Ovis aries: one gene and its partners. Each later gene encodes a partner of the first gene's protein in a complex. Links are inferred from orthologs where the notes say so. Each region holds a gene or a part of one and is shown in the gene's direction. Other genes may lie near its edges.

The links.
Region 2: the proteins of SFN (region 1) and YAP1 are in contact, whole or in part, in a crystal structure (PDB 6G6X), measured with the Homo sapiens proteins. The link is inferred for Ovis aries from reciprocal best matches to the Homo sapiens genes SFN and YAP1. Residues at the interface, in NP_006133.1 of Homo sapiens: Lys11, Glu14, Cys38, Glu39, Asn42, Leu43, Val46, Lys49, Arg56, Lys122, Arg129, Tyr130, Gly171, Leu174, Asn175, Val178, Glu182, Leu218, Leu222, Asp225, Asn226, Leu229, Trp230; in NP_001123617.1 of Homo sapiens: Ala125, His126, Ser127, Ser128, Ala130, Ser131, Leu132, Gln133.
Region 3: the proteins of SFN (region 1) and MEFV are in contact, whole or in part, in a crystal structure (PDB 8C28), measured with the Homo sapiens proteins. The link is inferred for Ovis aries from reciprocal best matches to the Homo sapiens genes SFN and MEFV. Residues at the interface, in NP_006133.1 of Homo sapiens: Glu14, Cys38, Asn42, Leu43, Ser45, Val46, Lys49, Arg56, Arg60, Glu115, Phe119, Lys122, Arg129, Tyr130, Pro167, Ile168, Gly171, Leu174, Asn175, Val178, Tyr181, Glu182, Asp215, Ile219, Leu222, Asn226, Leu229, Trp230; in NP_000234.1 of Homo sapiens: Arg205, Asn206, Ala207, Ser208, Ser209, Ala210, Gly211, Arg212, Leu213, Gln214, Gly215.
Region 4: the proteins of SFN (region 1) and ESRRG are in contact, whole or in part, in a crystal structure (PDB 8BJG), measured with the Homo sapiens proteins. The link is inferred for Ovis aries from reciprocal best matches to the Homo sapiens genes SFN and ESRRG. Residues at the interface, in NP_006133.1 of Homo sapiens: Asn42, Ser45, Val46, Lys49, Arg56, Arg60, Arg129, Tyr130, Glu133, Gly171, Leu174, Asn175, Val178, Glu182, Leu222, Asp225, Asn226, Leu229, Trp230; in NP_001429.2 of Homo sapiens: Arg175, Arg176, Arg177, Lys178, Ser179, Cys180, Gln181, Ala182.
Region 5: the proteins of SFN (region 1) and PADI6 are in contact, whole or in part, in a crystal structure (PDB 4DAT), measured with the Homo sapiens proteins. The link is inferred for Ovis aries from reciprocal best matches to the Homo sapiens genes SFN and PADI6. Residues at the interface, in NP_006133.1 of Homo sapiens: Lys49, Arg56, Arg60, Lys122, Arg129, Tyr130, Gly171, Leu174, Asn175, Val178, Tyr181, Glu182, Leu222, Asp225, Asn226, Leu229, Trp230; in NP_997304.3 of Homo sapiens: Phe443, Tyr444, Pro445, Ser446, Ala447, Glu448.
Region 6: the proteins of SFN (region 1) and FOXO1 are in contact, whole or in part, in a crystal structure (PDB 8A62), measured with the Homo sapiens proteins. The link is inferred for Ovis aries from reciprocal best matches to the Homo sapiens genes SFN and FOXO1. Residues at the interface, in NP_006133.1 of Homo sapiens: Tyr19, Ser45, Lys49, Asn50, Arg56, Arg60, Lys122, Asp126, Arg129, Tyr130, Glu133, Gly171, Leu174, Asn175, Val178, Tyr181, Glu182, Leu218, Ile219, Leu222, Asp225, Asn226, Leu229, Trp230; in NP_002006.2 of Homo sapiens: Pro20, Arg21, Ser22, Cys23, Thr24, Trp25, Pro26, Leu27, Pro28, Arg29.
Region 7: the proteins of SFN (region 1) and PIN1 are in contact, whole or in part, in a crystal structure (PDB 7AOG), measured with the Homo sapiens proteins. The link is inferred for Ovis aries from reciprocal best matches to the Homo sapiens genes SFN and PIN1. Residues at the interface, in NP_006133.1 of Homo sapiens: Tyr19, Lys49, Asn50, Arg56, Arg60, Lys122, Asp126, Arg129, Tyr130, Pro167, Gly171, Leu174, Asn175, Val178, Glu182, Ile219, Leu222, Asn226, Leu229, Trp230; in NP_006212.1 of Homo sapiens: Arg68, Arg69, Pro70, Ser71, Ser72, Trp73, Arg74, Glu76.

The regions. Positions count from the first base shown.
Region 1 is NC_056055.1:240,067,325-240,070,479, reverse strand, and holds SFN (14-3-3 protein sigma), read left to right. Parts: upstream 1-1,330; 5' UTR 1,331-1,388; coding exon 1,389-2,135; 3' UTR 2,136-2,655; downstream 2,656-3,155. UniProt on the Homo sapiens protein: Adapter protein implicated in the regulation of a large spectrum of both general and specialized signaling pathways. Binds to a large number of partners, usually by recognition of a phosphoserine or phosphothreonine motif.
Region 2 is NC_056068.1:6,333,361-6,337,464, reverse strand, and holds the start of YAP1 (transcriptional coactivator YAP1), read left to right. Parts: upstream 1-1,304; 5' UTR 1,305-1,635; coding exon 1,636-1,953; intron 1,954-4,104. UniProt on the Homo sapiens protein: Transcriptional regulator with dual roles as a coactivator and corepressor. Critical downstream regulatory target in the Hippo signaling pathway, crucial for organ size control and tumor suppression by restricting proliferation and promoting apoptosis.
Region 3 is NC_056077.1:3,239,691-3,243,763, reverse strand, and holds the start of MEFV (pyrin), read left to right. Parts: upstream 1-1,273; 5' UTR 1,274-1,334; coding exon 1,335-1,611; intron 1,612-3,465; coding exon 3,466-4,073. UniProt on the Homo sapiens protein: Involved in the regulation of innate immunity and the inflammatory response in response to IFNG/IFN-gamma.
Region 4 is NC_056065.1:19,381,047-19,384,995, reverse strand, and holds the start of ESRRG (estrogen-related receptor gamma), read left to right. Parts: upstream 1-1,149; 5' UTR 1,150-1,303; coding exon 1,304-1,359; intron 1,360-1,444; exon of another isoform or gene 1,445-3,949. UniProt on the Homo sapiens protein: Orphan receptor that acts as a transcription activator in the absence of bound ligand. Binds specifically to an estrogen response element and activates reporter genes controlled by estrogen response elements.
Region 5 is NC_056055.1:248,914,560-248,918,786, reverse strand, and holds the start of PADI6 (protein-arginine deiminase type-6), read left to right. Parts: upstream 1-1,427; 5' UTR 1,428-1,482; coding exon 1,483-1,574; intron 1,575-2,275; coding exon 2,276-2,459; intron 2,460-4,227. UniProt on the Homo sapiens protein: Structural constituent of cytoplasmic lattices, which plays a key role in early embryonic development. Cytoplasmic lattices consist in fibrous structures found in the cytoplasm of oocytes and preimplantation embryos.
Region 6 is NC_056063.1:22,148,914-22,153,138, forward strand, and holds the start of FOXO1 (forkhead box protein O1), read left to right. Parts: upstream 1-1,425; 5' UTR 1,426-1,881; coding exon 1,882-2,550; intron 2,551-4,225. UniProt on the Homo sapiens protein: Transcription factor that is the main target of insulin signaling and regulates metabolic homeostasis in response to oxidative stress.
Region 7 is NC_056058.1:12,295,884-12,298,488, forward strand, and holds the end of PIN1 (peptidyl-prolyl cis-trans isomerase NIMA-interacting 1), read left to right. Parts: intron 1-557; coding exon 558-668; intron 669-1,484; coding exon 1,485-1,594; 3' UTR 1,595-2,105; downstream 2,106-2,605. UniProt on the Homo sapiens protein: Peptidyl-prolyl cis/trans isomerase (PPIase) that binds to and isomerizes specific phosphorylated Ser/Thr-Pro (pSer/Thr-Pro) motifs.

The DNA.
Region 1 (3,155 bases):
AACTTCTGAGAGGCAGGCTCATTCAGCTGGGGGGAAGAGGAAGGCAGCGCTCAGCTGGGACTGCTGCCCCATAAAACGAAACGACATGCATCACAGCCGCCTCCATCGCCTTGGTCCTGTCTTTTCTCCCCAGTTGCTAGCGTTTCCCCCCCTCCTGGTACCCAGCTGGGCAGGGTACCCAGGTGGCGGGCATCCCTGCCTCTGACAGAGGGCGGGGCTGAGTTAGGCAGGAAAGTGGAACAGCCAGTGAGCTGGGTCCCCACCCTCTGTGCGCCCCACTGACACATGATGGCAGACAGGGGGGGCAGGTGACCTGGTGTGGACAGCCAGAGGGCAAGTCCTCAGACAAGTGGCAACAGGCCACCAACTTGAAAGGGAAAATTGTGCTGTGATGGGGAAGGTATCCAAAAAACCTACTGGGTGACTAATTACAAAGGCTAGGCCAGAGCGTCAGAGGCCGCTCGTTAAACACCTCATTAAGTGGCACTCTGAAAGCTGCCACTTTTGCATTCTGGGAGCTCAGAGGGGACAGGATCCTGAGGAGGAGTGAGGGGTGGTGGGTAGAACCATTTCAGGTAGACTCTGGAAGAAGCCTGCATGTCACTTTTAAATAGTCTGGAGCTCACAAGTCAAAAGACTTGATGGGAGCAAAGCCAAATTTAGTAGCTGTGTGACTGTGAGCAACTCTCATCTTTCTCTGAGCCTTAAAGCGGTCCCGCCTCTACAGTGGGAGTAGTGTCACAGACTTGCCCATTTCACACAGACAGAGCAGGTTAGATTAAGTTAGATCATGGGTATGAAGGCGCTTGGGAAGCTAGCTACCGCCCTACCTAAACAAAGAGTTATCCCTCCTGAACCAATATGGGAAACACACCTGGCAGGACTGGGAACCGCATCCTCCTGCACCTGGCTTTATGGGCTCTGCCTAGGCCCATAGCGGCCAGGTAGCTGAAGCCATCCTCAACCCGTGTAAGAACACGGTGAAGGAGGATCTGATTTCAGCAACTGGGACAGCTACCTACGGTAGGCATGTAATAGAAGCCCTGAACCAGAGCGGGCAGCCTGGGGCCTGGAAAGGTGTCGGTGCAGGTGAGGCCAACGCCCAAATCTCTCCCGCTGACAGTCCGGATGACTCACCCCCGGCCCCCGCCTCCCTACCCGCCATCCAAGCCCTTTTACCTTTAAGGAAGAGCGGAAAGGGTGTGGGGGCGAAGAGGAGAGGGAGGCAGGTCCGGGGCCCTAGCCCCGCCCTCTGCCCCTCCCACCCTTCTCTGGGCCTGGCCTTCCAGCCAAAAGGCGGGCAGAGAGCAGGAGAGGCACAGAACCCGGCCTTGGTTCCGAGGCAGCCAGTTAGCCCGCCGCCCGCCTGTCTGCCTGTCCCCAGAGCCATGGAGAGAGCCAGTCTGATCCAGAAGGCCAAGTTAGCCGAGCAGGCCGAACGCTATGAAGACATGGCAGCTTTCATGAAGAGCGCTGTGGAAAAGGGCGAGGAGCTATCCTGCGAAGAGCGCAACCTGCTTTCAGTGGCCTACAAGAACGTGGTGGGTGGCCAGCGGGCGGCGTGGAGGGTCCTGTCCAGTATCGAGCAAAAGAGCAATGAAGAAAGCTCGGAAGAGAAGGGCCCGGAGGTGCAAGAGTACCGAGAGAAGGTGGAGACGGAGCTCCGGGGCGTGTGCGACACAGTGCTGGGCTTGCTGGACACCCACCTCATCAAGGAGGCCGGTGACGCCGAAAGTCGGGTCTTCTACCTGAAAATGAAGGGCGACTACTACCGCTACCTGGCCGAAGTGGCCACTGGCGACGACAAGAAGCGCATCATCGACTCAGCCCGGTCGGCCTACCAGGAGGCCATGGACATCAGCAAGAAGGAGATGCCGCCCACCAACCCCATCCGCCTGGGCCTGGCCCTGAACTTTTCCGTCTTCCACTATGAGATCGCCAACAGCCCCGAGGAGGCCATCTCTCTGGCCAAGACCACCTTCGACGAGGCCATGGCCGACCTGCACACCCTCAGCGAGGACTCCTACAAAGACAGCACCCTCATCATGCAGCTGTTGCGAGACAACCTGACGCTGTGGACGGCCGACAACGCTGGGGAAGAAGGGGGCGAGGCTCCCGAGGAGCCCCAGAGCTGAGCCGCACCCGCTGCACGCCCTGCCCTACCCTGCCCGCTCCAGTCCCCCACTCCCGGCAGAGAGGACTTGTATGGGGTGGGAGGTCCGACCCTTCTCCCCAAACGCTCTGGCCCAGCTCAGAAAGGCTCCATAGAGAGGAACAAGCAGAGCCGAGTCCCCCTGGAGCCAGAGGATTCCATACTTCCTGCAGCTGTCAGGGGCTCCTGGCCACTGGTCATCATCCAGCCCTGCTCTGTCTCCACCCCCGCCCCCCGTCCCAGACACCCCCCCCCCCACCCTGACCACTTCCTCCCCACTCCAACCCCCTCCCGCCCCTGCTACCTATGGATCTTAGGAATTGAGGAGTGTCCCATCCTTAGAGCTGAAAACCGAACTGTGTGGCAGAGGTTGGTGATGAAGGTGTGTGTGTGCGCCTGTGTGTGTGTGTGTGTGTTGTGCAGCAACCAGGACCCAGGATGAGAGGGAGAGCATGTCTGCTGGGTGTGACCATGTTTCCTCTCAATAAAGTTGCCCTGTGACACTCCGCCTGTCTTTTTCAGTTATTGCGGAAGGGCGGGACAGGGATTGGTGTGTGAGTTACAGAGACCCTGACCTCCTTGGGGCTGGCTCAGTGACTCGCAGGCAAGACTCTGGAGCCAGGAGAGAGGCTGGGGATCCAGCCCTCTCCATCAGGGTCTGGTCTAGTCCCCTCAAACTGGTCCTATCCCGGGAGGGTCGGGTGAGCAGCGCCAAGGCGGCTTGGAGACTCCTCTGCCAGGAACGTGGGGTGGGAGGCTGAAGCGCTCAGGTGTGAGGGGACAGTCTCCGGGGTGAGGTCGGAGGGGTACGCCGCAGTGAGCGGCACTGAGCACCTCAGACCTGAAAGCGGGGAACAGTCCCATCAGATCTGAGCGGAGGGAAGTATCACCAGGGGGCGGGTATGACGCCGCCATTAAAAGCTCAGGTCTGAGGAGAAGACCGCCTTCCAATGTTCGGAGATGGGGACAAAATAAAACAGGCCGTTGACGAAGAAGTGCAACT
Region 2 (4,104 bases), on another chromosome or scaffold:
CAATCATTAAAACAGGAAGCTAGTTTTTCTTTATAATGAACTAGTGGATTTAAAATCAGAGTGATGTTGCATAACCCCGTGAATTAACGAAAAATAATGGATTGCTTGCATGGGATATCTCAGTAAAGCAGCTTTTTAAAAAATCAGACTGTATGAAATAAGAAACAAATTTTGGAGAACTCCCTGGCACTCCAGTGGACTCCCTGTTTCCACTGCTGGAGGCACAAGTTCGCAAGCAGCGTGGTCAAACAAACAAAAAACCTTAACACATTTTCATGGCTTTTGAGTGATTTCAAGTGGACTTGCATGTATGACACCGCCACAAAGAGAACCAGGTGCATGGTGTGAGTTCCTCACCCATTTACTTCTTATTCGGTCAACTATCACAAAGTGAAAGTCAAGGTCCCAGGCACAGGGGTAACAAAGAAAGATAGGCTCCCATCCCGTCAAGGATAAGACAGGCACACAGGGCAATACTTGAAACTTGAAGCGTGGGCTTCCCCGTTGAAGTTTTCACGACTATGTGGCAAATCTGAGCACTAAAAAAATGTTTTCAGTTTAAACAAAGGCAATTTTTTGGTTACTTAGTAAATTAGACTGAGTCCCAGATTTAGTCTTTAAGCTTCAAATCACAAAACTGGTTTATGTCTTTCAAGTGGATTTTGCATGTTTAAGAAGTGAAAAGTATCAAGTTCTTTTTTTTTTTTTTTTTTAATGGATCCTTATTAAGTCAATGTGTGTTACGGGTACCATTTTAGGTCCACCCTCGCCGTGAGCCCACAGGAGCACTCCCGTCGGTGCGGTCGGGCTGACGCGGGGCGGGCGTCCGTGGACTCCGCCGTCCCCGCCAGACTCCTTTCTGCCTCAGCTGTCCGGCATCGAGGGGCGAGGGGCGCCGCCGCTCCCGAGGGCTAGGGGGAGGCGGCCAGGCCGGGCGGGCGGCCGGACCCCCCGCGCCCAGGGCGGCCGCGCTCCCGGCGGCGCCCGGGCTCCGACCTGGACCCGCCGCGCGCGCGTCGTCGGGCCGGCGGCTCCCCGGTCGCGGGGCGCCAGGCACGCTCGCAGCCGCGGCCGCGGCTCCGCGAGGCCCCGCGGAGGCCGGGCAGGCGGGCACGCGGGCGGGCGGGGCGGCGGCGGCCGGAGTCCGCAGGAATGCGGCGCCCTCGCCGGGGAAAGTTTCCCTGAGCATCTGGCGCGGGCGGGCGCGCAGAGGAAGGAAGCGCCGCGAGGAGGCGGGGCCGCGGCCGCTCGGGCGGGCGCGTCTCCCAACTTTAGTTTTGGCGTCCGAGGCGAGTTTGCGTCTCAGTCGGGAGCGGCCGCCGCCGGGGAGGAGAAAGGGAGGAAGGAAGGAACAAGGAGAGGAAACCGGGCGAGGGGGAGGGGAGCGGCGCGGGCCGTGCGGCCGCAGCCCGAGCCGAGGGAGCGAGCGCGGGCGCCGCGGGCCCCGGTCTCCGGCGGCCCCTCCCGACGCGCCGCAGGCCCGCGGAGCCGGGCGCGGGGCGGGGGCTGCGGGGCCGCGGCGCAGCCCCCGGCCCTGAGCGCGAGGCCAGCGCCGCGCCCGCTGCTTCCCCCGCCGCGGCCCGTCGAGCCGGGCCGTCCGGGCGGAGCCCGTGCCCGCCGGGTGAGGCAGGAGCCATGGATCCCGGGCCGCCCCCGCCACAGCCAGCCCCCCAGGGCCAGGGGCCGCCGCCCGCACAGGGCCCCCAGGGCCAGGGCCCGCCGTCCGCGCCTGGGCAGCCCGCGCCCCCGGGGCCCCCGGCGGCTCCGCAGGCCCCCCCCGCCGGCCACCAGATCGTGCACGTCCGGGGGGACTCGGAGACCGACCTGGAGGCGCTCTTCAACGCCGTCATGAACCCCAAGACGGCCAACGTGCCGCAGACCGTGCCCATGAGGCTCCGGAAGCTGCCCGACTCCTTCTTCAAGCCTCCCGAGCCCAAATCCCACTCCCGACAGGTAACCGCGCCGCCCGTTTCCCCGTTTCCCCGTTTCCCCGCCGGGTGGGCCCCCGGCGGGGGCGCTCGGGGGGTGCGGGCTCCGGGGGCGCCGGCGGGGCGGGGATGGGCGCGCGCAGGGGCGGGCCGGCCGGGGCGCCGCGCTCCTCCGGAGTCCGAGGCCGAGATTTGTTCCCCCCGCCCCCGGGAGTCCGTCTCGGCGGCTGCAGCCCCCGGGGGCGCGCTTCGCCTGCTCCCTTCTTTCCTCCCCCGCGGGCTCCCGGCGGAGTCGGGGGGAAAGCAGGGGCGGGCGAGGCGGCCGGGCCGCGGGGGGCTCGCACAATACGCGCGCGCCCCGCACCTCCGCTCCCGCCGCCGGGCCGCGAGCGGGGGCGGCCCTGGCTTCCGCGGGCGGAGTCGCGCCCCGAGCCCCCTCTCCTCCAGGGTCTCCCGGGCCCCCTAGTCTCCCCGGGAGGCACGGAGTCGTGCCCTCGTTGGCCAGCGTGGAGCAGAGCCGGGGCTCGAACCGGCCCGGGCGGTCCCGGGCTCTTTGTCCCCCTCCCCCTCCCGGGAGCACTTCTCCTCGCGGCCCCGGCGCTCGCCGAGCACAGGATCCAGACTTTCCTGGAAGTTGTTTATGGAGTTGGGCGCTCTCACCCCGGCCCTTCCCCCTTGCGCTCTGCAACTCGCGCAGGCTCACTCTCCCCGAAACGCAGTGGGCTCACGTGCTGGCTTCCCCACCGCGGACAATTATTTACAGTCCGCTGAAATGCTTTTAAATGGGCCACATCTGCACGGCGCGCGGGCTCTGGGCTGGGTTGCACCGCGCCTGGGGTTTAACACAAGTCTTTGATAACGCTCCGCAGGTTGACTCACAGGCCGAGTCCTGCCTAGTTCAGCTGTGATTAGAAGTTAATGTTTGGGAAGCGATGACTAATTCGAGGCTCGCCATTGCTCTTTAATTCTTACTGAGGATATGAACATGGCTGTCCCACATATACAGCCTTCGATTATTTTGTCAACGTGATCCAGCGTTGAAGTGCAACTGTATATTATGAAAGTGTTAAGATTCCGATCGGTCCCAGAAGATTTGTTTAGGGGAGACTTTTCTTTCTGTCCTTCCTTTTTAAAAAAGAACTTGCTTCAGGCTAAACTTCAGCATAGGAACTTTGCCCAAAAGTTAATTGGTTTTCCAAATAACTGTGATGAAGTTAGTCCACCCGGCTGTAACTTGAGCGGAAAGAACACTTATCGCCCCCACTCCCATCGCCCCTCCTATTTGGAGGCCTGTGATAAGTTCTCCTCCCTCAGACCAAGGGGTTTGGGAACTCAGAAAAACTCACGCTGCTGACAAAAAACCTGGGTTAAGGGAGAGGAAGGAAAAACAATTTAGCTGCTTGCCCTCAATATTTCAGTTTGCAAGAAGTAGACTTGGGTGCGCTTCTCTCTTACCCCTGGAAATGAGTTGCCGGGCTCATGGGTGTTGGCGTTGCACCCCACCGTCTGCACAGCTATGCTGCTGGTTAATATGTTTCAAAAGTATAATACCCATAGGATACTGAATTCCCCATTTTGTGGCATCTGTAAGCCGAAAAGAATTGCCATTGAAAAGTGTACCTATTCTTCTAGTAAATCATTGCATGAAAGTTTGTATCAGCAGTTTATGGATTCATAATATTCACAAGTTACCGTAGTTTTATTTGTTTTAATGCGTTTGTTGACCAAGTGTGCATCTGTAAGTTAGACTTTTATTTCTGCTAATGAGTCCTAAATTCCAATTTATTCTGATTGGAAACTCGGAATATATATGATTTAACATCAAGGCATAGATGCCCTTGCTGATTGCTTTCAGTCTCTCTTCTTGGTTATATGAATCTGGGAAATTTTAACTTTTTGATAAATCAAACCCTAACTCTAATTAAGGAATTTAAATAACTATATTTGCTTATGAATAGTATGAATGGGGGTTGTAAATACTGTTGTTCACAAACTATTGAATATTTGAATATAAGTTCATTTATTGCCTCATTTTTCCATCGTGGGGGGGCGGGGAAAGTATTACAAATGAGAAGTCTTGAGGCTCACAGAGTAAGATACTGTCCAGTGTGTCACACTTACCAGGTTGGACTGAAACCCATATCTTTAGGGTCTGACTTCAGCAGTTTTTCTGCTG
Region 3 (4,073 bases), on another chromosome or scaffold:
CCTGGTGGCCCAGTGGTTGGGACTTCATGCTTTCTCTGCTGTGGCCCAGGATCAATCTCCAGTCGGGGAATTAAGATTCCATTCCACAAGCCTTGAGGCATGGCCATAAATAAATACATAAGTAATTATCCTCATATTCTTGTTCTTAGTATTTAGGATGGTTAGGGTATTTGGAATGATACCTGATATGTTTTCAACTTATTACTAAATGCTTCAAAATAGAAAAAACAGAAGTGTGCACATGTGCATGAGGGGAGAGAATCACCAAAAATAATACATAAACAACTGATGAACAAGGGTTGAGAGCATATACGTGTTCATTGTACTATGCCCTTAACTTTTTTGTGAACTTGAAATTTTTCAAAAACAAAACTGAGGATAAAAATCATTGTAGCAGACAGAGAGCAATTCAAAGAGGAAGAAGTCACTCCGCCCATACCACCTCCATTAGCTTCGGAGCCATGGCTGAGGCCCCACACTGGGCTGTGAGCCCTAAGGACACCTTTTTCACCCTTGTTTCTCCAGCATCCTGGTCCAGAACATGTGTTCAGTAACCGTACATGTATGACACTTTCCCTCCGGGGTCTGCTCCTAGGAAGTCATGGCAGAGTCAACGCTGGGACAAACGAATCACGATGGTGATCCCAGGCGTGGCATTCCTAGGCCTTTCTGTTGCTGGAAGAACCAGACAACTGTAACTACGTCCAAAGGAGTTATCCCAGGGCTTTTCTCCTGCCGTGCCTCCAGACCTCACCTGTCTCCTCCGGCAGGGAAGAGCAGAGCTTGCAGGGCTGTATCTGCTGCTCCTCATCCTCCTGCCATTGGCTACAGAGGGTCAATAAAACCCCAAGTCTGGAGGAGAGAAGCTGACCAGAGGGACTGACCCTATCATGATTCTCTCCAGCATGGGACCAGGGACTCTGTTCCCCCTCACTCTCACTCCCACCTTCCTGGGAGGGAGGAGGGAAGCATCTGAGAGGCTTCCAAAGAGCAAGAATCTGAAATCCAATCCCAGACCCTCCCTCAAAGACTAACCCACCACTCCGAAGTCCAGCCTGGGTCAGCGAGAGCTGGCGTGCAGGACCACCACGTGTCTGACAAGGCATTGAGCCCTCCCACCTGGAAAAGCCTCTGATTCTTTGAGGAAGAGGACGCAAGCCAGCAATGACACACTAACAGCCTGAGTCTCAGTTCCCACCAAAACACAGAGCATTTCCTGTGCCTTTTCCGTTATTTCACAAGCTGCATCTTCTCACTCTCAGGGCACCAGGACAGACAGTAGTTTCTTCCCTCAGAAGCAGGACGACTGCCTCCAGTCTCTCCTGGTCAACACCATGGTCAGGACCCGGAGTGACCATCTACTCTATTCCCTGGAGGAGCTTTTGCCCTATGACTTCGAGAAGTTCAAGTTCAAGCTGCAGAACACCAGCCTGGAGAAGGAGCACACCCGGATCCCCCGGGGCCAACTGCAGACAGCCGAGCCGGTGAAGCTGGCCTCTCTGCTGGTCAACCACTACGGGGAGGAGTATGCTGTGCAGCTGACCCTGCAGGTCCTGAGGGCCATCAACCAGCACCTCCTGGCAGAGGAGCTTCACCAGCTGATCAGCCCAGGTAAGCGGCCCCAAGTGCCCTCCTCTCTCAGTGCAACTGCTGGCTGTTCGTGGAGTCGGGTGGAAGGTACAAGAGGGAACTTGTGTTCAGACCAGTGCATCATACTGACTTGGGGGTCAGGAGTCCCAGGTCTGCGACAACTCCTGTGACTTCTTCAGCCAATCAAGTTCTGTCCCCTTCTCTGGTCTTTGCAGCTGGAGCAAAGCTAAGGCTCCCAGTGGCTTTAAAAAAATAAACCCAGGAGGTTGAGGTTCTGATTATGGGGCCAGATCAGGAGAGGCAGGAGCTGGATGCCTGCTGGTAGAGTTCTTCACTTCGTCATTAACACCTACAGATGAGTCTTTGGTTGAGCAAGAAACTAACCACTCCTATCGACTGGGTTGATGGGTAATATTGTTAACTCTTTTCAGTTTTGAGTTCTCCTCTAACACATGTCACAAAAGTATTCTAAAATTCTCAAAAGGGCTTTCTCCTTCCTTCCTTTTCTTTCCCTCATTTCTTTTTCATCTTTTCTTTCTTTCCTCTTTTCCTTCCTTCTTCTTCTACCCCTTTGTTGTCACTTTCTGATTTTATTACACTGTGATCAAAGAATGTGGTCTGTTGGATTTCTACTTTTCAAGAGTTTTGTTTTATTTTTTTTTTTTTTGAGATTTGGTGGGGGCAGGGGTGCTACTCTGGGACCAGTTTAAAAAAACTATTCTTTCATGTCTTAAATTTTCTTCTATTTCTAGATTTTAAGAATATACCAGGAATGCTTTTCATGTCCTCCTATGAGGTAGAAGAGTTTACATAACAAAATTTCTCTGCTCTTTGAAAGAGTGATAAAGCTAATCTATAACCTGAACCTGGTATAATTTAATGAGGATAATTTTAAAATTAATTTTTTTGTATTTTAAAACTTGTTTATGAGCCTCTTCAGGGTTTTTCACCAGTTCCTGAGGCAGCTTTTGTAAAATATGTTTTCCTGGAAAGCCAACAACAAAGTGTTTTAAGCAATCTTAATTTTACTATGGGGTTTTTCAAACCAAAATTAAGGTGCTAATTATAGGTTATTTTATTTAGTAGCGGTTTTCAAATTGTATCCCAGGAAGACATTTCAGGGATTGTTTAGAAAGTTGGCAAATACTTGATTCAAAATTTATGAATTAACTTACAAAACTAACTAATTCATATTAAAATGTGCCATTAACCAAATTTTAAAATATTGGAGGCCATCGGTGTGATAGTTCATATTGTACTTGAACTTTTTCTGGAACCTTGAATTTCAGCCCTGTCATTTCTCTTTAATTAAATATTGCCCTGAAATTTCCAGGCAAACTTGTTTTTTAAACTGTTTACACCAAACTGGATGAGGTAGGATTTTCTTCATTTCATGAAACCAAAGTTACAGCAAAAAATTCGCTTCTAAAGTTTTTTAAATATAAATTTATTTATATTAATTGGAGGCTAATTACTTTACAATATTGTGTTGGTTTTGCCATACATCAACATGAATCTGCCACGGGTGTACACGTGTTCCCCATCCTGTCCCTCATGACCCTTGATTTCAAACTTCTGTGCCTATCTTTATTGACTGATAACTGAGTTTTGTAGATCTGTAATTCACACACAAATGTATTCCAATAAACTATTCTATGTAAGAATAGTTCTGCCTAAAAAAGTTTTGAAAAGTACTACTTCAGAAATAAGACAGCAGATAATGAATATGATCTTATTAAATGCTAATTGACTGCCATTGTCTAGAACTTCCCGAACTCCCCTAATTTCGGAGGGGGTTCTCTCCTCTTCCTTTCCCCAAATGTTGACTCTGAGTATCGGGCATTCCCATGCCTTTCCATCTCATTGTCTTTTCAGTGTGTCGGATACAAGAAGGTGACACAGACAGCTCAGCAACGTCGGGTTCCTCTGGGGAGATGAAGCCCAAGAGCCTAAAGACCCTAGATGGCCTGGAAGGTGACAAACAGCGACAAAGTGCTGATGGGGCTGGCTGCCCATCCTCCAGCCAGCCTGAGGCTGGCAGGGGGTCTCAGAAGAAGCCTCTGGGAAAACAGCGAGATCAGAAAGGCCCTGAGGGCCTGGAGGTGCAGAGCAAGCTGGGGGCCAGGAACACGACTCTGTCTTCCAAGAGAAGCCCCTTCCTCGGCAAGGTGCTGCGGGAGAAGGAGAAAGGGAGCTGTCCTAGCGTCAGGCTGCGGAGGAACGCCAGCTCTGCAGGAAGGCTCCAGGGACTCACCAGCGGGTCACTTGCTGGATCCCCAGGAAGGAGAGAAACAAAGATATCGGAAGTGTATTTACCTTCAGGAAAGAAGCGACCCAAAAGTCTTGAATTTACCATTTCTCCAGAAGAGACAGGACCCCTCAATCCAGAAATTCTTCTGCTTCAGGAGAAAATGAACACTGAGAATCCAAGCTCAGCAACCACTGCCAGCGAAGTGGCCACTCTGAAAACAGGGCCGACTGTG
Region 4 (3,949 bases), on another chromosome or scaffold:
AACTGTGTGATGATTTACGAAATGTTTCTGAGTTGATTTTTTAAAGCATTCAGGGTGTGTTATGTATAATTGACAAATACATAAACTACATTTTATTTGAAAGCTGATGTTTGGGGTAAAAATCATATGTGTTTGTATATGTTTCCCAGTTTGGAAGCTTGTATTGAAATAAATGTATGACTAAGAACACTTTCAGTGCGCTGGTTAGCACTGCTTTCCCTACAGGGAAAAAAAAAAAAATGCAGTCTTTATTTTGTCAAAATGCACTGAGACGTTTTCAATGCACTAGCTACCCAGCAGCCCTGTCTCCTACTCCTGAAACTGGAGGAGCCAATTTGTCCCGCAGTTGTTTTATCTTTGTTTTGAAAAGCTATACATTGTATATCTATAGGTAGAGAGAGGGGGAGCAGGTAAAGAAATATTTACATATAGAATTTACATAGGCATTTTCGAAAATTGCATTGAGGCACTCTCCTCTTCTGTAGTGATGTAAAACTGCAATCCACCTCAGAGGACGATTCCCACTTCGCATGCTCGAACAATTTAGAAGTCATATCTTGGATTTTTTTTTTTTTAAATGCCCAGTCTAGATCAGAGAAACAGACGACAACACGATGACGGATCAATGAGAAAGTACAGCACTCAATAAGCAGGAGCCCCCTCCCCGGTGGAATCAAACACAGACAACGGCAGGACAAACTTCATTCTCTACCTTCCGCAGAATCCTTTCCCAAATTAACTCTGAGAGTCTGCGTGAGTTCTTCTGGGCAAGGCAAAAAGAGATCTTGGGTGAGAAACCCAAGACAGATCCCTCCGGGGCTTGGAGGGTTAAATTAGTTAGGTTTCTTTTCTAGCTTCCCACGGGAGGAGAGAAGAGAGAAAAAGAAAGAGCAAGCAAGCGCGGGCCTGGCGCAGTATCTGCCCGGAGCGTCCGGATCTCTGGTCCCCGCTCCCTTTTCTCTCGCGCTCAGTTTCTAGCCGGGTCGCGTCTCTGCACCCTTCGTACCTGCCTGGTTCCGCGGCTCCTCGCAGCCTCCCGTCGCCTCCCTCCTGATTGGGCAGCCGCCCCCCAATCGGCTGCGCGCCTGGGCCGGTGGGACTGCATATGTTAAGCTCTACTTCATATTAATAAGCTCCAATCGGGGCTTTAAGTCCTTGATTAGGAGAGTGTGAGAGCTCTGGTCCCAACTGGCTGTGCCTATAGGCTTGTCACTAGGAGAACATTTGTGTTAATTGCACTGTGCTCTGTCAAGGAAACTTTGATTTATAGCGGGGGTACACAAATAATGGTTGCCGGTCGCACATGGATTCGGTAGAACTTTGCCTTCCTGAATCTTTTTCCCTGCACTACGAGGAAGAGTAGGTACCTTTTTCTTTCCTTTTTAAAACTCGTCGTGGGGGTGCGCGTGTTTGTGTGTATGGCGGGGCGGGGGGGGGGTGGTTTGGGGGGTGGACGGAATGGATCTTGGCGCACTGAATCAGGTAATGTCCTGGGTATTTCGTGTGCACGAGTGCTTGTTTGTGTCTGTCTTGTGCCTTTTGTGTTGAGGGTGATCTCCTAATTCAGGAAGTCGAGAATTGTTCTCTGACTACAATGTTACCTTTGAGGCAAAGCTCAGTGACTGTCAGTAAAACAGCTGTGTGACAGTCACTTCTTATTCAGGTGCTAAGAATAGGCACTTGGCACAAATGCTTAGTGAACTGTTAAAATGCATCTTTTACTAGGACCCATTTTCCCAAGGAAAGATGTTTTAAAATACAATATTCAAAATGATTTATACTATTGAGTGCCTCTTATGTATTTGCAGCTTGACAGATATTTTCAGCTCCCCGTCATTTCTTACCGCTCAGAGTTAGAGGCAAAATTGCACATTTACTAATTCTCCTTCAGAGAACAATTTAAAAACTAGCCCTATGCAAGCCGGGGCTAGAATAATGTTATTTGCATGGTTAGCATTAAGTCAGCACTTAACTGACAAATCAGTCCATTAAGTAACATGAGATTTTTCACACGCTATAAATATTTAAAGGGAGAAAAAAAAAAAACTAAACTAAAGAAGAAACAGTAGTGACTTTTTAAATTTCTCCTTGAACAGACGATGCTGAGATTGTGGATTTGTTTCGTGTATCATGTCCAGAAAATGCAGAAAAGTACTTTTGTCCTTAGATGCAGTTTCATTCATATTTATGAATATCTTTATGCCCATGGAAATATACATATTTGTATTGCTCAGGGTCGGGGGGAAGTGAGTAGGGGGTAAAAGGAGTAAATCAGGCATTCTTGGGTAAAAATGAGTAGGTCGTAAACTTAATTTCAACCCACTGTTAAGATAAAATACTAGTTTATCACAGTAACTGTCACTGGTTCCTCTTTCTGTTGAGTCAGTTATATGGCTTTGCTTTCCCATTACAGTAATACCAACTGTTATAATTCTGAAAAGAGTGCTCTTGGCAAACAGTTCTCCCTAGATTGTGAAGAAAACATAAAACCCTCGAGAGGAGGAGGTCATGCATTATAGGTAGATGTCCACTAGCGGTCCTTAGTGACTGCATATTGCCTTGCTTTGTAATTAAGCAAGAGATGAAAAGTGACTTGCAGTCTCAGTGGCTCCTCATATGTTTGAGTGTGTGTGTGTATGCCTGTCTGTAGATGTGCTTGCACGCATACACACTCACACCAGGGATGTTAGCCCAGGGATGGACTTAGGAAGAACCGAAAGATTGGAAGGCAGTGCTTGCGTCAGTTGCAAATGCTCCAAGGAAGAAACCTTAAATTGTGTGAAAATAAAAATGAGAAATAAACAAAGGTAGGACTGCCCACTCAAGTGGAGTTTGAAGGTTAGTACACCTGAGGCTGTAGCACTGGAGAATTTAATACACCTTCATGTCAGGAAGAATGCATTATCCAAGCTCACCCAATTCAGAACTTTCTCTCATAAATAAATAAACAAAACAAACTTTAAAAATCTGCCTTCTTCCCCTAGCCTTCTTTGTAAAATAGTTTCCTTGAATTTAACTTCTTATAGCTAATTTGAATAATTAGTTTCGATAAGCCTCTTAAAGCAGATGTATTTAAATGAAATCAGGACACATGTCCTTTTGGCTTTGGCGCAAGATTCAAACTAGCTTTCCTTTTTGGCTCAATTAAAAGTCATCTTTAAAAAATACAGATTTATTGTTTGGATGCAGCTCTGATGGTTACGTGGTTCACTGGACAGACAGAAAGATCTAATGCTTAGTAACGCATCTGCCTCTCTGTCTCAATTAATAAACCACAGAATTTATACATGCTATTAATATTCATAGTAATTGTGCTGGGTTAAACCCCATCACGTGTGTGTATACACAGAAATGAAACCAGAGTTATGCAGTTTCAGAGGAGAATATTGGACAATTTCTGCTGTGGAGGCTGTTGAAAAGATTCCTTCAATTTATTGACCACCATTAGGAGAGCCTAAAATGTTAACCTATAACTATGTTGTTTTTTTTTTAATTTTGGGAAATGTGCCAGTGCATTAAAGAGCATAATACTTGAAAGCTTGTTTCACATTTAATAGCAGTAATAACTGATAGCATAAATAGATGAAAATAATATATCTGCTCATTTTGACATATGTGTCAGTCTAATCATTCTAAATGAGTGTGCTCATCACGGTTCTCTTTCAACCTCTGATTAAAATGTAACATTGACTACAGGATTATAGAGCGGACTTAATTTTACTGACTGTTTTAGCAGTTGTCACAGCTGTTGGAAGAAGGAAAGGCAATTGAAACACTCCAAAACAGGCAAGGCTAGGAGGGAACAGTTTAGTATTTGAATTTCAGCCTGATCATGAAAATCCAGACCTGATCATGAAAATCCAGACCTCAAAAATTAAGCAGATTTGTGTTTGTTTTTTTAAAATTCCTGTTTGGAGCTATGCAAGTTTTATTTTGTAAGGTTTCCTCT
Region 5 (4,227 bases), about 8.8 Mb from region 1:
ACCCAGTTTATGTCCCCCCAGGGTGTTATACACAGCTTAATCATCACAGCATCATGTCAGGGCGAAAGGTCGGGACAAATGCCTGCGCATGGTGAAGCAGACTCGCCCGGAAGGCTACACAGACATAAAAGGGGCCGGGGTGCTTCTTACAGACCTCATACATACGTGATATGAAGAGCCTCCGAGCTACGCTGCGAAGTAAGCAGCTAGGTATGGAGCCCTGAGCAGCAGAGAAGTGAAGAGGAGGGAGGACATAGGTTCCCGTTGGCTTGGGGACCTGTAACGTTTGTTTGGAAAGATTTAGAAGAACCTGATGCCGATGCTGTTGGCTGCCTCCACATTAGGGAACTAACGGGAGAGACAGAAGGAGGGAAACTGTGTTGCAAGCCGCCTTTTGAACTTGGACGCATGTGCCTGTCATATGTATTCAAGAACCATCAGTTCAGTTCAGTTCAGTCGCTCAGCTGTGTCCGACTCTTTGCGACCCCGTGAATCGGAGCATGCCCGGCCGCCCTGTCCATCACCAAGTCCCGGAGTTCACTCAGACTCACGTCCATCGAGTCCGTGATGCCATCCAGCCATCTCATCCTCTGTCGTCCCCTTCTCCTCCTGCCCCTGATCCCTCCCAGCATCAGGGTCTTTTCCAATGGGTCAGCTCTTCGCATGAGGTGGCCAAAGTGCTGGATTAACCCACACTTAAAGTCTTAAACTTCGCTGGCGAGCCTCGTGGGCTAGAGCAGGTGTTCCCATTTCTTGGCTCAGTGAACTCGGCGGAGATGCGGAGCTGCTGGCGACCTTGCTCAGCGGGGGCCCTTCGTCCGCTCTTTCCACCAATCCCTGCCCGCCCCCTGCTGGGCGCTGATGACACAGCTGTGCTCAAGGAGCCCCCTAATCCCCTGGGGAGGGCACGCAGCTGCCTGGACCACCCCCAGGGGTTCGAGGCTTTCACAGGCGCCATCCCCTAGTCAGCTTCAGAGCCCTGGGAACCACTGGTCCATCACTTACCACTTTCCAGGAAACCCACACCTTACGACCGAGGCCTCAAAGTCTAGAGGGGCTGCCCCGTGCCCTCTCCTGACCAGCGCCCCACGCACCCCCCTGCAGATCCTTGCTCCAGACAGCTCCCAGCTTAGTTAAGCCTCCAGCGCCGAGGCCAGGTTGACCAATCCCAGGCACCAGCTTTCCAGCTGGAGGCCAGAGCTCCAGGCAGCCAGCCCCAGCCCCTGCAGAGCTGCAGGCACTAGCTGCTTAATGAATTGGTGCTGCCCCGGCTCTGACCCCAGCTGCACCTCAGCAGCGCCTCTCCTCCCAGCAAACCTCTGCGGAGGAAATCAGTTACACTCTGGCAGCTGCTACAGCCTCCTTAACAAGGGGGCGGGCTGGAGGCCCCTGAACCCATAAGAGGGGCAGGCAGTGGGCGCAGCCTCGGGGTTGTCAGAGGTTGCCGTGCCGGGTGGGGTGGTCAGCCCAGAGGGCCGTGCCATGGCCTTCCGGAACATCGTCCCTCTGTCCCTGGACAGCCCAACCCACGCTGTGTGTGTGCTGGGCGTGGAGCTCTTCTTAGACGTCAGTGGGTGAGGAGCTGGGAGAGGTCTGGGCGGGGAGGCTGGCGAGGATCCTTACCTGGGGCATCCTTGGCTTACGCGGGAGTCGGGGGCTCACTGCTCGCTCTGTACCTACCCCGCTGTCCTGCTCCATCTCAAGGAGCCGAGGTCGGGTCTTTAAGGGCCTCCCGGTCCTGCTTCTGCTGCTCCTAGGCTGTGGGACCTTGGAAGCACGTGCGTTGCCCTCTCTCGGTCCCCTTCCCCATGAAAGGGGGTGAGGATGACCCCCGAGGCGGCCGTGCGGACTGATGAAGCAGGCTCCTGTGAGCTGGAGCTGTGGTGGGAGGTGACTCTCAGGGCCCCTGCCTTCCCCCGGCCCCGGCACAGACCTGCCAGGCCTTGCTTTTCCCCCGTAGGGATCCCTCATGGCTCAGACAAGGGGCCCTCCCCTCCCAGGAAGGTGGGCCTTCAAGAATAAGATGTAGGTTAGCAACTTCCAGAGCATCCTCGGGAGGCGGGGGTCTGGGCGGCAGCTTGTCGCGGGGCCGGCATGGAGGTCCTGGGAGCAGGATGTGGTGAGGGGAAGGCTGATGTGTTAGGACCCAAAAGTGCCTTGACCGTGAGTTGGGGGGCTTCAGCAGCAGAGAGGCTGGGGGCACCCCCTCCAGCTGCACTCCGGGCCAAGAAGGTGGGGCCTGTGCGCCAAGCTCTGTCTGCTCGCCGGCCCCCAGGTGCGCCCCGCCGGCGTGTGAGTCCTTCTCCGTGGACGCGTCTCTGGGCGTTGTGGTCCGCGTCTGCGGCGCAGACCCGGTGGAGAGCAGGGAGGGGCCGGCCGCGCCCCGCTGGCCCCTGTCGCGCCCCACGGACGTGCTGGTGGCAATGACGTCCCCCAACTTCGCGGAGGACGAGGGCAAGGTAGGCCTTGGGTGGTGGGGGAGGTGAGGGCAGCTCTTCCGGGAGGAGCTGACGCAAGCCCTGGGGCCTCCCTCCTGGCAGCTGGGGCCTCCTGAGCGCAGAGTCTGAAAATTCAGAGCCAAACGCTTTGTCTGATCGCATTCAGTGCTTGCAGCCAACCTGTGACCCCGTTTTACAGACAAAGAAACTGAGGCACAGAGTCAGGGAAGCACCCTGCCCAGGCCAATAACTGGCTGAGCAGGGATTCAAGCTCAGGTGTGTCTGTCTCCCCCATTCACGCTTCTGACCACCACACTAGCTTCCAAGTCAGCTTTTTTAAGGTCTGGCCTAAAAAGTTTCAGCAGTAGGACTCAGATGGGCTTTTTGGCTAAGGCTGGTCTCTCAGATATGGAGCCTCTTGATGAAACTTAAGAGCTACCACGGGTCTGATGCTGAGTACCAGGTACTGAATCACGTCTCCCAAGGTCGGCGTTCCCTCTGCTCATGTGTGAGGAAACGGAGCCACACCCTAACGGGACAGACCCAGGATCCGAGCCCAAGCCCATGCCCTATCCTCTGGGCAGGATGCTGCCCAGATGGGACCCGTGGCAGAGAGATGGACTCTCAGCTCGTGCAATGGGCTCAGCTGAATCTGAGCGGTTAGTGGCGGCTGAGTAATTAAAATCACCTGATGCCCAGGCCTCGGCCCCTGCCAACCAAACCATCCTCTGAGCCTCATAGCTCCAGCTGACCCCAGTGTGAGGCTGAGGCAGCACAGCTGAGGGAGGCATGTTTAGGACTGGGGGACTTTTGCCAGAACGTTCCAGAGGAGAGTCAGTAGGGGGCTAAGCTGGGATGACTGAGAGGGAGTATACACACCTCCTCCACCGGTGCCCAGGGCAGGTGACTCACCAACAGGCAGGTGAAAAAGTCGCTCAGTCGTGTCCAACTCTTTGCGGCCCCATGGACTATACAGTCCATGGAATTCTCCAGGCCAGAATCCTGGAATGCGTAGCCTTACCCTTCTCCAGGGCATCTTCCCAACCAAGGAATTGAACCCAGGTGACCCGCATTGCAGGCGGATCCTTTACCAGCTGAGCCACAGGGAAGCCCAAGAGACAGGTAGGACACTTATCAAGCGTCTCAGAGAAGGACTGAGGCTGTGATGTGGCCCAGCTGAGCCCAGAGCACCTGAGAAGCGTCTCTGCCCAGCGCTCCGCCTCCAGCAGCACTAGGACTCAGACGCTTACCTCGGGCCCCAGCTAATGGCTAGTTCTGTGGTTCGAGATGAAGGCCTGTGGTCAAGGCCAGAGGCTGAAGGGCAGGGCTTTCTCGAAAGTACGAAGACTCCTCTGCAAGCAGAGGTCGCTGTGAGACCCAGGACAGGCAGCCCCCGCCCCCAGCGGCCTCTTTCTGGGCAGCTTGGCCCATTGGAGGCCCCACAGCCTCACAGCCCATCTTGTGGGGTCCCAGGAGGGGTGGTGTAGCAGGCAGGACATGGAGGGCAACTTAAAGCTTGACCTCTAGAGCTGCACAGCCCAGATCCTAAGTCCTGTTCCACCCCTTTTACTGGCCAATAGTTCAGTCCTGACTTCTCTGCCCTGTGGTTAGAGCCCGCCTGGACGGGCAGTGGTGAGGCCTCGGTGTGGAAGGGCTTGGTGGAGGGTCGTGGCGCGTCACACCCGGGGGCTCTAACAGCCCAGTGACCCTGTGCTCACTCCCGGGAGTCACTGGAAGCTCAGAAGTTGTGGCGTGAGACCGAAGGCAAACGGCCAGAGCCAGGGACAGG
Region 6 (4,225 bases), on another chromosome or scaffold:
TAAAAAGAGCAAAACAAAACTTGACAAGTATTTCTTCTGCTCCCTGAGACACAAGGGCCATTGTCTTCCTTTGGCCCCCACTGATCTTGGCAGGACAGCCTGGACCTAGAGCCCAGATGGAGCGAGGTGGGGTGGGATGGGAGGGGGCAGTGATTGACACGCGGGACAAGCAGCCTAAAGCAACACCTGGGAGTGGGGCAGGGCTTCGCCTCAAGCCTTTGGTACTGTCCCCTGTTAGGTTTTCACCTCTCAACGTCTCAGCACTTGCATTCTAAATAGCAAAGCAATGACAAGCAAACAATCGAATTTAGTGTAAGTAAGTAATAAAGTGACAAGGCTCTCCCTAAGTGCTCTCCTCTGACCCCGCCTTCCCCGTCGTCCCGGACTGACTCAGTGGACAGTCTGAGGTTCCTGCCCAGGGGAACAGGTTCCCACGGAGGGCACGAGGGTTGAGGCTGCCTTCGGCTCTGAGGATGCGTGTGCAGGAGCAATCGTCTTCGGCCGGGGCCGAGCCCCCGTGAACCCGGCTCGGGGCGGCTCGTCTGGCCAACGGCGCCCCCCACCGCCAACCCCCCCACTAGTCTACACCGACCGCCGAGGCTCAGCTCGCTGGTGCGGAAAGGTGGGTTCCCGGCGCTGCGGCGGCGGCTGGGTCCTCCCCGCCGACTCGGCAGTCAGAGCCCGGGCCCCGCGCGGGGGTGGGGACAAGCGTGTGTGCGGCCCGCGCCCGGGGCCGGAGAACTCGACACATCGCAGGGAAAGGAAAAAAAAAAAACAAAAAACAACCAACCAAACCAAATAAAAACAAAACCCACCGACTTGCCCACGTTTCTCTGCAGAGAAATCGTGGGCGGAGTCGAGAGGGGGCGAGTGAGCAGAACTCCGACGAGGCCGCCTCCGCCCGCCCACGCACCCACCCACCCGGCGGCCCCCTGAGCGCTGATTGTCCCCGGCCCCCGCCCGGCCCAGCTTCGGGCTCCCGAGCGCAGGTCGAGGCGAAGCGGGCGGCTCGTTCCACTCGGGCTTCCCGAGTACTCGGCTGGGCTCCTCAGTAGTAAACAAAGTGTCGCCGCCGCCTCCACGTTGGTTTGCCTCCTAGCAATCAAAACACTGAGAGGGCGAAAGACTCACAGAAACACTCGAGAATTACCAGAAAATAATAACAGAGAGCCAAAAAAAAAAAAAAACCCAAAAAACAGAGAGCGAGCGAGCGAGGGAGAGACTGTGCATGTCAAATAGAAAAACACCCTACTACCCCCCACCAACCAACCCACTGCCGCCTCCCCGTGGAAAACCGAGCCCCGCCCAGGCCGGCGCCCATTGGCGGCCCGGGCGCCGCCGCCGCACTTTCATTGGTCGCAGGGGCCGTCCGTCAGGGGCGGGCCGGCGCGCGCGCCGCCGCCGCCGCCGGCGGGGGGCGGCGGCAGATCCCGTAAGTCGGGGCGGCCGCGTAGTCGCTGCTGCCGCCGCCGCCGCCGCAGCATTCAACAGGCAGCAGCGCCGCGGTCGCGCCCGCCCGGGGAGAGCAAGCGGCCCGCGGCGTCCGTCCGTCCGTCCGTCGTTCGGCGCGGAGAGCGACGCCAGCGCTGTCGGGGCCCCGACGACTCTGGCCTGCCGTCCCGTCAGTGCAGCGGACCCGGAGGCGCCTAGATGCGGACGGAGCCGTGAAGTTAAGTTCTGGGCTCGCGCTTCCACTCCGCCGCCGCCGCGCCTCCCTCCGGGTTTCCGTCCGCTCGCTGCACCGACCTCACCCCTTCCCGCAGATCTCGGACAGGCTCTCGGCGCCCTCTCTCCCCTCGGCGCCGCCCCCCCCTGCCCGGTGCTGCGCTTTTCTCACTTCTGGGCAAGTCCCGCGGCTGGGGGAAGGGTGGGGGGGTCACCATGGCCGAAGCGCCCCAGGTGGTGGAGATCGACCCGGACTTCGAGCCGCTGCCCCGGCCGCGCTCGTGCACCTGGCCGCTGCCCCGGCCGGAGTTTAGCCAGTCCAACTCGGCCACCTCCAGCCCGGCGCCGTCGGGCGGCGCAGCGGCGAACCCCGACGGCGCCGCGGGCCTGCCCTCGGCCTCGGCGGCCGCTGTCAATGCCGACTTCATGAGCAGCCTGAGCCTGCTGGAGGAGAGCGGGGACTTCCAACAGGCGCCCGGCTCCGTGGCGGCAGCCGCGGCGGCGGCGGCGGCGGTGGCGGCGGCTGCTGCGGCGGCCGCAGCTGCTGCCACCGGGGGGCTGTGTGGCGACTTCCAGGGCCCGGAGGCGGGCTGCCTGCACTCGGCGCCGCCGCAGCCCCCGCCGCCCGGCCCGCTGTCGCAGCACCCGCCCGTGCCTCCCGCCGCGGCCGCCGCCGCCGGCGGGCCGCTCGCGGGGCAGCCGCGCAAGAGCAGCTCGTCCCGCCGCAACGCGTGGGGCAACCTGTCCTACGCCGACCTCATCACCAAGGCCATCGAGAGCTCGGCCGAAAAGCGGCTCACGCTGTCGCAGATCTACGAGTGGATGGTCAAGAGCGTGCCCTACTTCAAGGATAAGGGCGACAGCAACAGCTCGGCGGGCTGGAAGGTGAGCGGCCTCCGGGCGCACGGCCGGAGCGGGAGGGGTGGGTGGGTGTCCGGGGGAGCCGGCCTCCGTCTGAGGTCGCTGCGGGGCAGAGGACGGGGGACGGGGGCCCGCCGGTACAAGTTTTCTTGGCCTGAAAGTGCAAGGCACGCGGGTAGCGCGTGCAGGGTGAGGGCGAGAGTGGCAGAGGTGGGTCGTGGGCTTGCCCGGGACCCGTCGAGGGGGGCGGGGGGCAGAAATGAGTGTGTGTGCGCGCGCTCTAGTGAGAGTTGGAGCCGGACAGGGAAGGGGCTCGCTGGGACCAGAGCGGGTGAGAAAAAGGACGCCAAGAAGTGGACCTCCGAGCGGCCAGAAAAGTTCGCCCGTGAAAGAGGGGTGGGGCGGGGGGTTCACTGGGAACGGCTCCCCCTCGGCTCGCGCGGACTCCAGCCGCTGCTCATATTGCCCCCCTAGGACATCAAGGGTGAGGGCGGCTCTGCGCCGCCCACGCGGCGCTCGTTCCCCACCCCCAAGCTCAGGGACGCCCCGCGGAGCCGTTTCCGCCGCGCGGGGCGGAGGAGGGCGCGGCGATGGGGGCCTCGGAGCCCCGCCGCCCTAGAACGGAGCTGCAGGTGGAGGGTACAGGCAGGGCGCCAGCCAGGAGGTCCGTGGGGCCGAACGCGCCGTTTTGGGAGGCCAGCGTGCATTTTGTTTTGTTTCGATTGCGTTTCGAAGTAGCCTCGAGTGCCGGGGGCCGGGCGCACCCAGCCAGAGGTAGCGCCTCCGACACGTGCGAAGGGGCGGCCACCGCCGGCGAAGCGCCGGCGCCGGGCCGCGCGGGGCGAGCTAAAGTTCAAGTATGACCCTCGGCGGGGGCGGGAGCTGGCGACGGCGAGGGAGGGGCCGCGGGCGCAGGAAGCTAGCGCCTTTAAAGGGCCAGCGCGTTCTGGCCGCGCGCGCCGCCGGGCCCGGGCCGCGGGGCGGCGAGGCCAGCGCTTCTCCGCGCCAGGAAGTGCCCCGCAAACTTGGCCTCGCCCTAGGTTCAAGGCCTTTAATTAGGCGCAGAGAGGCTCCCCTGGATGCCCGGCGCTGGGAACATGTGTCCTCTGTTGCTTTTCCGTCTTGGCACGGAGGTGCAGATCCGAGAGGCAAGGCAGGGGGCTTTGAGACCAGTGTTTTGGAAGAGTTGCAGTGGAGGTTCGAATCTAGGGAACCGGAGGAACCTCCTGCATCGCCGGAGACCCTGTAGATGAAGTGCCTCTGGCCCTTTTTGCCTTTCTGGAGAGAGAGAGACTGATACCCACCAGGAGAGACCCTGGAGGGGGCAGGTTCATCCCTACCGAGAGGTGGAGAAGGCCCTGGGGTGCTCAGGGGAGGCCGACCGGCCTTCCGTCCGCCCTGCGGCTTCCAGGATCTGGCAGTTTCTCAGTGTCACAGGTGAAAGGATGGACGTGAAGGTTCTGTAGTTGATGTAGACTCCTTCCTCACTCCTCATCTGGACTGTACTGCGTAGTATTTTTCTTTGCTGCGCACTTGTTACAGCAAGGTGGTTTTACATACAGTGTCATCCCAGTGGTTAATGTGTGTCGGAAAGGTTAAGTTAATCACATCGTATTGAAACTCGTGGAGAAGGAGCCAGGATCTTATTTCTTCCAAAGTGTGTTTTGGAGTAAAAGCCTCACAGATAATCTCATTCATT
Region 7 (2,605 bases), on another chromosome or scaffold:
CTATGGCCTCCTGCCTCTAGAAAATTTTCCTTTTACTGCCTGAGGCGTCCCAGTGTCCCTTTTTATTTTTATTTTCTTGGCTGTGCTGCTGTGGGATCTTAATTCCCAACCAGGGGTCAAACCTGTGCCCCGTACGTTGGAAGCCCCGAGTCTTAACTGCTGGACCGCAGGGAAGTCCCCCAGTGCTCCTTTGTAACGTCCGTCCTGCCTTCTGTCCTCCCCAGCAGAGCCTGGAGGTAGACTTCCTCTCAGTGTGTGGGGGTAGGTAGAGGCCATGCCATGTTCATTATGTGTTCCTGTGTGTGTAGGGAGGGGGGTTACAGAGAAGGGGTTGTAGGACTGGGTAGGAGACCAGCTGCTCTTGAGGTCACCACAGGGTCATGGGGTGCATGCCTGTCATGGGTGTGTATGGCTCCGGCTGTGGTTGTGCATGCACGCTCATGCACACACGATTAGCAGGGGTTGCGGGCTCCTTTCTGAGTGAAGTGCTGCCCTGCCCGGAACCCTCCGCCCACCCCGCCCTGACGAGGAGGCCTCCCTTTGTGTCCCCCTTGCAGGCTACATCCAGAAGATTAAGTCTGGAGAGGAGGACTTTGAATCTCTGGCCTCACAGTTCAGCGACTGCAGCTCCGCCAAGGCCAGGGGAGACCTGGGTGCCTTCAGCAGAGGTGCGCAAAGAATGGGCACCCCTGAACCCCAGCAAGACCCTCTGACCCACTGGCACCTGCACCCCACCTAGAGGGATGGCCCGTGTCACACTGTCCCCTGGGGTCCACCAGGTGGCAGCAGAGTCCCTTCCTCAGGCTGCAGAGTCTTCTCCCCGGTGGTGGCATTTCTCTCGGGGTGGGGCATCCATCTGTGTGTGTCTCTGCTCAGTTGTCCCCATCACAGACCCACCAAGGTGGGTGCCTGCTGCCATTTCCCTCTCTTCCTGTTGAGGTGCAAAGCTGGGGCCCCTAAGAGTCCCAGAGCACATCCCCCAGAATCCTCTGCCCACCCTCCTGGGTGGAGAAACCAGGAGTGAGGGGAGGAGGGGGTCAGATCAGCAACCCTGCCAAGTTCAGGCCTCTCCACCTGGGACTGTGGGAAGGGAGGAGCAGAGGGAACCAGGCCGCCGCCGCCTCCCCCCTTCGTCCTGGGGTCTCTAGAGCATCAAGGAAGGGCCCAAAATAGGCTGAGGGGTGTTTGGGAGCCAGCAAGGGGCTGTGGGCCAGGGAGACCAGCTCCTCGGTAAAGCTCCTCTCTCAGTGCACAGAGGAGACAGCCACTGTGCCTCGTTCTTCATGCTGTCCTCAGCTTCCTGGGGCCTCCCTAATAGCCTTGCCACCCCCAGCTGCGCCCAGCTCAGGCGCCGTGGCAGGGCCGGAAAGTGCATGACGGATGAGTCAGAATGAGGGCCCTGGGGGCGCAGTGGGAGCCCCGTCTGCCCAGTCCCACCTGCAGGTCTGGACCCCACCCGCCACCTCTCCTGCTTCCTCCCCCAGGTCAGATGCAGAAGCCATTTGAAGACGCCTCCTTCGCGCTGCGGACAGGGGAGATGAGCGGGCCCGTGTTCACAGATTCGGGCATCCACATCATCCTTCGCACGGAGTGAGGGGTGTGGATGGCCCAGGCCTGGCCCCCTGGGGGAGACAGGTGGGACGGGGTGGCTGGGCCCGCAGACTCCGCTCCCTGCTGCCGGCCAACCAGTGGGGACCCCTCCCTTCTGTCACACAGTATTTATTGATCCCAGAATGGCTGGGAGGGGCCCCTTCACCACCGGGTGCTCCCTGTCCGCTCCTATTGGGGCTGTCCCTGCTAGACTCCCCTCCCCTTTAGGAATCGACTTCAGAAGGGCACAGGGTGGAGAGGCTCCCTGGGCTCCCAGGGCCAGGGTTGGGGGTGACCTGTCCCAAAGAGAAGGCCTAATTAGCTGAGCTGCCCCTGTGCCACCCCAGGTCCAGGATGGGGTCAGGTGGGCCTTGAGTTGTTGCTGGTTGGGCCGTGTTCCTCTGTTCAGTTGTAAAAAGCAGACGCTCTGCGTGGGGCCCAGGCTGCTGGCTGCTATGGGGCCTCTAAGCAGCCATGCAGCGCCTTCCCCACCCTTGATTAAACCTGGAACCACTGCTCTGCTGTCTGGCATTTCATTTCCCACCCCCAGGGCAGCGATCATCTCCCACCACCCCTGGTGTCAGGTGTCCAGGCCATGTTCCCTCCCTGGGAAGCTGCTCCTTTCCCTGGGCCTGGGGTGCTTCATAGCAGCAGCAGACTCTCAGGGAAGTGGAACAACCGCGGTCCTCAAACTTGGGTGTTCAGGAATGTTCCAGAATGCAAGGGCCCTGACCGCACAGCTCTGGGTTCAGCAGGTCAGGTGGAACAGGAGAATCCTCAGGGAACCCAAGTGAAGTCCCCGTTCACCCTTGGTGCTCTCGGTGCCGTGCCCCCCCAAACACACCCCACTTCAGTTGGAACAAAATACTCCCAACACTCCGATGCCCACTCCCCTGTCACCGTAAGCATTCTGCCAGGACCCGGGCACCTCTGCAGATGCTAATTCCATGGCAACGGGGGCCAGTGAGAGGGCACTGCCAGATGTCTCTGAGAGCAGGGGTCCTGCCCAGCCTTC